Linked DNA regions of Neodiprion lecontei. The protein of the gene in region 1 purifies or fractionates together with the protein of each later gene. This does not show direct contact. Links are inferred from orthologs where the notes say so. Each region holds a gene or a part of one and is shown in the gene's direction. Other genes may lie near its edges.

Region 1 (3,759 bases):
GTTGGTAATACTGGCAACTGAAACTGTCTCTCGCAATTGTCAACATCACGAAAATTTCCAATTCCCTTCAAATATGTTAGCAATGGCTTGGGTACGTGCCATGATTCGTTGTTTAGCTTGTACATTTCAGCCAGAAACTGATGTGATGTCCTCTGCATCGAATTAGGAAGAACCGCTGCAAACCGCATCCACAAATGAATGACAGCATAATATTGAAAAACTGATTCTGAGAAATTGGCAGAAAATTCTGGGTTTTCAGCGCACAGTGCAGCGTAAACGCGAGAGCACAACGATATGTAGCTGTCGGTTGTTATCGTAAAATATCGTGCTGTCTTCATTTCCGTTAACTTGATCTCAATCTCCGGAGTCTCAAAATCGAGAGGATCTTCCAATTGATCGTCCGCAGATGCCATGTTCCTTTGTCTTCGTCAGTGACTTTGTGGCTATTTCTTCAATGCTGGTGCTGTTTCTAGTACTTTCACTGATTTTTTTCTAATTGAAATAAACAATGTCACAATATTAAAAGAACAATCACTACTTTTAAATAGTTATTTCGCTATTCTACCACCTTCTTGTAGGACAGAAAATATCGTTTACGAGTACTACGATAAGAACTAAGCGTGGAATGAGCAAAGACGCGGGCTCACAATTGGCCAGGCTTCTCGTTTCCCTCCTATACCGCCACTCTGCAATGATGTGATCAAGTGTCGTAAGACTGATGGGATTCCCCCGGTTTTTTCCACGGCGCGAGAAGTTGTGTATTCCCCATAGACTTATCAAGATTTTCAGTCACGCCTTAACACAAAGCGATATCATTAGTTAAATTCGACTAATTCATTGCTTTATGCGTTGAGTAAAGCTGTTAAAGCAGTTACGTTAAAAGGATTTTGAGTGCTTGCGAATTGCGTGTTAACTTTCAGCGGTAAAAAATCGACCTGATCGCTAATATGGCTCCTTATGGCCCCAGGCACACTTACCCGCCGAGTACTGCTCACAGAAATTTGCTAACAATCCTTTTAGAAACGATTGTAAACGTTTCTAGACTAAGTATGAAAGGGGTAAGCGTCTTTTAATTTTTTAGCCAACGCTTCCTATGAGACTTAGAAAATTGTTCCGATTCCGTTCTGAAATCTAATACCGAGAGCGTTCTGGAAGTATGGTTTTCCTAGGACACTTTTCCCATTTTCCATGGGTGCGTTCCGAAATTAGCTCCCAGTGCTGTCAACAATCTTTTATCTCATTTGTGCTGTCGAGTTCAGGCACTGATCTGTGTTATATAGAGATCAGTGACCACGACCAAAAATTATTACAAAATCAAAAAACATTAGTCACGCGCATGCGTATTGCGACTCCATTTTACATTATCCATTTCACGAATGAAAATACTCTCCTGACACAACCGTCGTGAAACATCGTAAAATATCGTAAAGCAGCGACCGGGACGCGGGAAATGCCGTATACTAGTTATACCAATTGGCAGTTAGTTTATCCTGGTTTTTTAATTATTCACCGGGTTGGCACAGAGATTGTCATTATGAAATGACTTGACTTGACGGCAGATCAAGAATATAGATGTTTGTCTATTATGATTTAGCCATCGCTCTACATCACAATAATTGTTATTTATCATATTTTTATCTGGAGTTTGAGAATCGTTGTAGTTTTAGGAATATAACCTATTCTGCAGCCTTTTCTACGTTCAAAATTACAAACGCCGGACCATTTTCAATTCGAGTTATCATAAGTTTAATACACGAGAACTGGAACTTGGGTAATTTTTTCAATACATCAAAGACACAAGTATAAGTTTCCAGTAACTTGTCAATAATAATTTATGACTTACAAGTACTCGGATCTAAAATTTTAAAGGTAAGAACTCTTTGTTTTTCAAATCTTTTGTAACACATTTCTTACCTTCAATTCCACTTTCAGTAATAAGGCATGACACTCTGTATTTTATGGTCAACCCATGTTCAGTACAAAGTAATTATTGTCAATGGTAGATTTAACTATATGCCAATTTAGAGCAGAAATTCAATTTAGATCAAATTCTCATTACATTACAGTTGATTTGGATTTATGAAATACAGAATGACCAGCGAAGGAAGTCAGGTGGACTCCGATTTGAACATATATTTTGTCATAACGAGAGATCAGAAAGATGAGAACGATTGCTCAAGCGACATGTGGCATGCATTTAATGTAAGTATATCTGTTTAACCATACTAAAAATTTCATGGGTATTTGCTGACATTCAACCATAAATCACCTACTGCAGTTCAATGCAATTTGTGATTCTGAAGATTTAATTTTCTGCAAATAGTGCAAATAATTGATTTCACAGGATAAACTACAAAGTATAATCATATGCACGGTAAAATTTTATGCTCCAAGTTTTTTCTGATCACACTTTTATTTTATAGAGCTGCGACGAACACGAATTATCGCCAAAATGGATTAAAGAGAATTTATGCGACAACTTAGCACCAGGAAAGAAGGACGTGTTTGTATTGGAAGAATTTGAGGGGTCAACGTTCGCACATTTGAAAAAATTTAAATGCTCGTAAGAATTTAATACAGCTGTTGATTGTAGCAACATTTACAGTATTCATACCATTTACATTTCTAATCAGAAAATTGAATCTGCATGTCATGAATTTCTTACATTATACAATATTTCCTTCAAACAAACTCATTTCACTTATCATAATAAATCAGCACATAAATATCAAAGCTCGATGAAAACTCGGTTGAAAAATTACGTAAGCTGCTAGTAACAACTGATGGTTCATTATGTTTTAGCAGAATAGTTGGACCGCGATGTTTACTGAGCTGTTTCATGACCGGGGAACCAATTCCCGAAGGAACCAGCCCAGTATTCACAACTGCAATGAGAGGCCTGGTTGTCAGTGTGTCTGGTCTCACTTCAGAGGCAAAAGTACATATTATCTACGAATTATTTTCAAATTATAGAGGCAATTGCAAGTTGGTATGCAAACAACTGTGATGCTTGTATGATACTATCCTGTTCCGATGAAATAGCAATTGTTATATTGCGATCATTTAAAAATTACAAGGGTTCTTTATTGTATTGCCTTCAGTGAAAATTATTGTTCAAGTTTTATTGATCGTTTTGTGTTTTATAGAAAAACAGATAATTTTTTGCGTAAATATTGTCTTCTGTGTGCTCCTAAGCAAACAAAGACATTTAAACATATATATACTCACAGTTGACAAAAGGTAATTCAATCATCGATTATTCTGAGTCTGATTTTTTTGTTTTCAGGAAAATATAGGAAGGAAGGTAGAATACATGGGGGGTGTTTATTCGCGACAATTGCGAAACAGTGTCACACATTTGATTGCAAATTTTGTGATGTCTGAGAAGTACGAGGTCTGTATATTTATATATGGCTAAAAACATTAACAACGACTCTTACAAACACGAATTGTAGCAATTTTCGATATCATTTATACTTTTCTAGAAAGCTGTTGAACAAAAAATACCAGTCATGACTGAGAATTGGGTAACAGCAGTATGGGAAGCAAGTCTTGTGGAAAATATACGGGCTACGAGCAGTAGATTTGACGAATACAAGTGCCCTGTCTTCATGAATCTAGTTGTTACCTCAACCAATTTATCTAAGCGAAAAAAAGAGATTAAACAATTGATCACTGATAATGGTGGGGTAAGTATTAACATCCAATGTGTGATGTTTCTCATTGCCCAGAGCTTTGAGCGATCTACTTTTTCAACTA
Region 2 (3,759 bases), about 3.3 Mb from region 1:
ACTGTGCAGCAACTTTTCAGTCAAGTTTATCAACACACAACGAAAAAAACACGCGAATCGGACTAATACACACTCAATATTACAAAATTCCCGTTATCTTTCGAACATGCCACGTATTCTTGAACGTTGCAGCATTCTTCAACGCACATTAGTCGGGAGACTTCGGAACCGGTGGACATGTCGATAAACGGAGCCGTGATCTCACACCACACAGGGGACATCGAGCAGCGAACCCTCCACATACTTTCCCAAGCCCTGACATTCAACATCCGTAATAACAAGCAGCGGAAAGGGAGCAGCACCCTGCTCCAGCAGCAGATGCATCACGGCAACTCTGTTCCCGGGGTTAGTTCAACGATTTTGCGAGAGTGTTCATCCCCGAGATGTTCTCCGAAGTACGTGAGTCTAACGGACCTGGACAAGAGTTACGGTGATAGTACCGAAGTGACTTCAATCGTAGCTTCGGCTTGCTGCACAGCAACAGCGATAGACAGCTGCAGCTATAACTCGCAGAGGCGGCTGGTGATTAAAACTGCGACGATCGTCGAGCCGGCCGAGGTCTGTACCGAGCCTTGGGGCTCGGCTTGTACTTCCGTTGGCAACGCTTGGGTCGACACTCTCCAAAAGGTTCCTGATATCGTCCAGCTCCAGGAGCTCAGTCCCTGCGTCACAACGCCTACCACACCTTGCACCGACGTCTCTGCTGACTCGGACCTCAGGTCCGGGACGCCGATTTTCAATTTTGACTGGTCAGCCGAGCACCACGTGCCCAGCCTCAAGGTCAACTTCCGTAACATCACCAGCCACGAGAGCAAGCGGACTCTTGTGCAACCTTGCGAGGTTTCGCAGCCTGCTATCACCCTACAGTTACCTGCTACGAGGCGAAAACATACAGGGGCGGGTTCTGACGTTACAAAATGATTTACTAAATGAGGACGAATGTCCTTCTGAAAGACCGTGGTTACACTGATCGGTGCTGTTTGTCTCTTTTTCGGATTGAACTATGTGCCCGTGGATTATCGATTTCGATTTTGGGAGTCATGATAGCTATAAAAAATACTTAAACTCACGAATATACCAATTTCTGTTTCACAAAATTTGACTAGCAAAATTATTACTGCAGAGTTAACGGAACGAGAACGATGATTAATTGTTTTTTGTGCGTACGTGACTATCATATTGTTACAATTATTCTCCGTGTAAATGTATTATCATTTCTATTATATGTGTATAGTTATATAGTACGCGAGTGTGATGATGTATGTTACTATTTTCATTTCGGAGTTGTTTGTATAATAATTATTATTATGTGAATAAAATGGTGCTAAAATTCTAAATCGTGTGGTCTAAAATCACTGAATTAGTATTATTATTATATTTCACCGGTCTAAATACGTGATGCCATAAGCAAACACTTACCTAGGTATACAAATTTTAGGGACCCTACCAGAGCTGACTGATTCTACGTAGTCTTACCAACAGTCGGTACACTTACCGTCCGCGGTGAATCTGCATTACCGACCAGTATTACCGCCGTGTTTCCCATGCGGTCCGACGCCCTCGCGACTCAGCCAGTTTGAATTGTACAGCATGGCCTGTCAGTCGCGAATTCGCTCTGCAACCGCTTGTGGAGTTTGATGAATAGGGGTGTAAATTCTGTGATAGCAAGAATTTTAGCAATTTTTGGCTTTAGTTATGAAGGCGGCAATATGTGCTCTTTTCAGTTGAATAAAATACCGCATGTGTCAAGCAAATTCTTCGTTGATGCGAGTCCAAACAATATTCCAACCTCCTATCTCGTATCGTCAATACGAAGTCTTTCGTAGTTCGCAAGGAAAACAAACCTAAATAAAAATCATGAGCAGCGATTCTACTACCGAATTATCAAATTCGAGTAACAGGTAAGTCTTGATGTTCTAACCTCTTATTAATTAACCCAATACTTGTATTGAATTATTTGGACACCGGCAAATTCGTACATCACAGACGTGATTTTGTTTGTAATTGTGTATTTTTTAATTTTATTATTCTAACCCCTTCAATTCTTATATATAACATTATTTGAACACTGGTAAATTCGAACATGAGCAGATGTAAATTCATCCTCTTGTACTCTTATCATCGAAACAATATATTTGTTATTATGGTTCATCTATCAACAGTAGCGTAGCGACTGCAGAAACAGTATGGAGAGTGATAAACAACCCTTTGGTCGCTATATTGTCGGACCTACAAAACGACACGGCGGAACGAACAATTCGTGTCATTTTGGGTTCCATTCTTAAGGGGTCTGCCAACCTGACAAATGTTTTGGTTCCCCCGCAGGCGGTAGGAGAGAATTACAAAAATCTCGAGAGACAGTATACAGGTAAATATAGGAGCTTATCGACGCCAACAAATAAAAATTGATAAAAGTGTTGGTGTGATGCGAAGAATCATTTCTCCTATTTTATTACAGAATTTACAATTTGGCTTTTTGGAACGATGTTCTACATATCGGGTGCACCGTTTGGTACAGAAGTACACTCTAGCAGTTTGGAAGTACAAGCTTGTATGCTGCGCATATTGGCTACACATTACCCACCGAATTTTAATCGAATATCTTCAGAGCTGCTGGATGTTTTGGAAGGTGTGTCTAAAAGAGTTTTGAATCTGTTTTTTAACCGTTGGCTAATAGCATGGTTTGAATAGCAAGGAAGAAATGAACTATGTGATATAATAACCTCAGGTCCTTACGTTTACAGATATTGTAAAATTTGAAGCAAACTGTAAGCCTGGAGATCAGATGGAAATAGCCAGATTCCAGGCTGAGTCTGGTGTTATAGGTTACTTAGATCTCGTTTCCTTGCCGCTCAGGGTACCTGAAAAAAGGCTTTATTCTCTACAGATTTTTATATCAAAGGTAACGTTAAGGGGTTGATGGTTCAACTTGACAACCATAGCAAGTCATAATAGTAGAACGAATAACAAGTCTGTGCATAAGAGTTGTTCAATGAACTAATTGAAACAATAGTAGAATTAATTCATCGATATCTATATAGAAAAAAAATTTCATGTCGCATCTTAATTATGATATGTATTTTTTTGACTTTCAATCACATTGCTGGTCCCATTTTAACCATCGTTTGATCTTTGCAGATCATTTTAAACATTGGTGTTACACAATGGAACCAGTCAAGGTTATGGGATGTGTGTCTCAAAATGATCGTTGATTCTTCACCAGATGTAAAATTCCTTGCACTAAAAATTGCGACGCAGATGATGCAAAGATCGCTAATTGGGCCAAAGGTGTCGATAAAAACACAATGATTTTTCAATATCGTGTCCATATTCGTAGCATATTTTCCTCTACAATCATATTTTTCTTTTTTTCATCATTAAGGAAAAATACGCAATCATAGTTCGGACTATAGAGATGGTCAAGCTTGTTCCTAGCTGGAAAAGTCTTGGTATACTATCGGCAGGCACGGATGCAGAATGGGTGGAAATTTTGACGAATTTTGTCAGCGAGATGGGAACTTCTCCAACTGCTACCAGCCTTTGTTATGATGTCATTGATTTGACAATCTGCAATAATTTTGATGGTAAGTTTAAAAGCAATTTGTAATTAAATAAGATCGAATATACTAACTGAAGAACAGTCATGAATTAAACGTTCAATTACAGTAAGTTCTGAGCCCTTGAGAGATGCAGCGTGCGCCAAAATCACGCGTTATTTAATGGACAATCCAACCTCATGTACTCCTGACGAAATAACCA

What was found. The genes of interacting proteins can lie anywhere in the genome.
Region 2: the proteins of DNA topoisomerase 2-binding protein 1-B (region 1) and serine/threonine-protein kinase ATR-like purify together in Homo sapiens (affinity purification with western blotting; 8 studies listed by BioGRID). This does not show direct contact. The link is inferred for Neodiprion lecontei from reciprocal best matches to the Homo sapiens genes TOPBP1 and ATR.

What each region holds. Positions count from the first base shown.
Region 1 is NC_060264.1:28,711,207-28,714,965, reverse strand, and holds the start of DNA topoisomerase 2-binding protein 1-B, read left to right. Parts: upstream 1-1,390; 5' UTR 1,391-1,869; intron 1,870-2,066; 5' UTR 2,067-2,079; coding exon 2,080-2,202; intron 2,203-2,423; coding exon 2,424-2,563; intron 2,564-2,802; coding exon 2,803-2,938; intron 2,939-3,286; coding exon 3,287-3,394; intron 3,395-3,485; coding exon 3,486-3,689; intron 3,690-3,759. Other genes in the region: uncharacterized protein LOC124294485, read right to left, coding at 1-413. UniProt on the Homo sapiens protein: Scaffold protein that acts as a key protein-protein adapter in DNA replication and DNA repair. Composed of multiple BRCT domains, which specifically recognize and bind phosphorylated proteins, bringing proteins together into functional combinations.
Region 2 is NC_060264.1:32,008,328-32,012,086, forward strand, and holds the start of serine/threonine-protein kinase ATR-like, read left to right. Parts: upstream 1-1,603; 5' UTR 1,604-1,857; coding exon 1,858-1,901; intron 1,902-2,162; coding exon 2,163-2,368; intron 2,369-2,458; coding exon 2,459-2,629; intron 2,630-2,744; coding exon 2,745-2,902; intron 2,903-3,138; coding exon 3,139-3,288; intron 3,289-3,382; coding exon 3,383-3,584; intron 3,585-3,666; coding exon 3,667-3,759. Other genes in the region: neuronal PAS domain-containing protein 4A, read left to right, coding at 133-921. UniProt on the Homo sapiens protein: Serine/threonine protein kinase which activates checkpoint signaling upon genotoxic stresses such as ionizing radiation (IR), ultraviolet light (UV), or DNA replication stalling, thereby acting as a DNA damage sensor.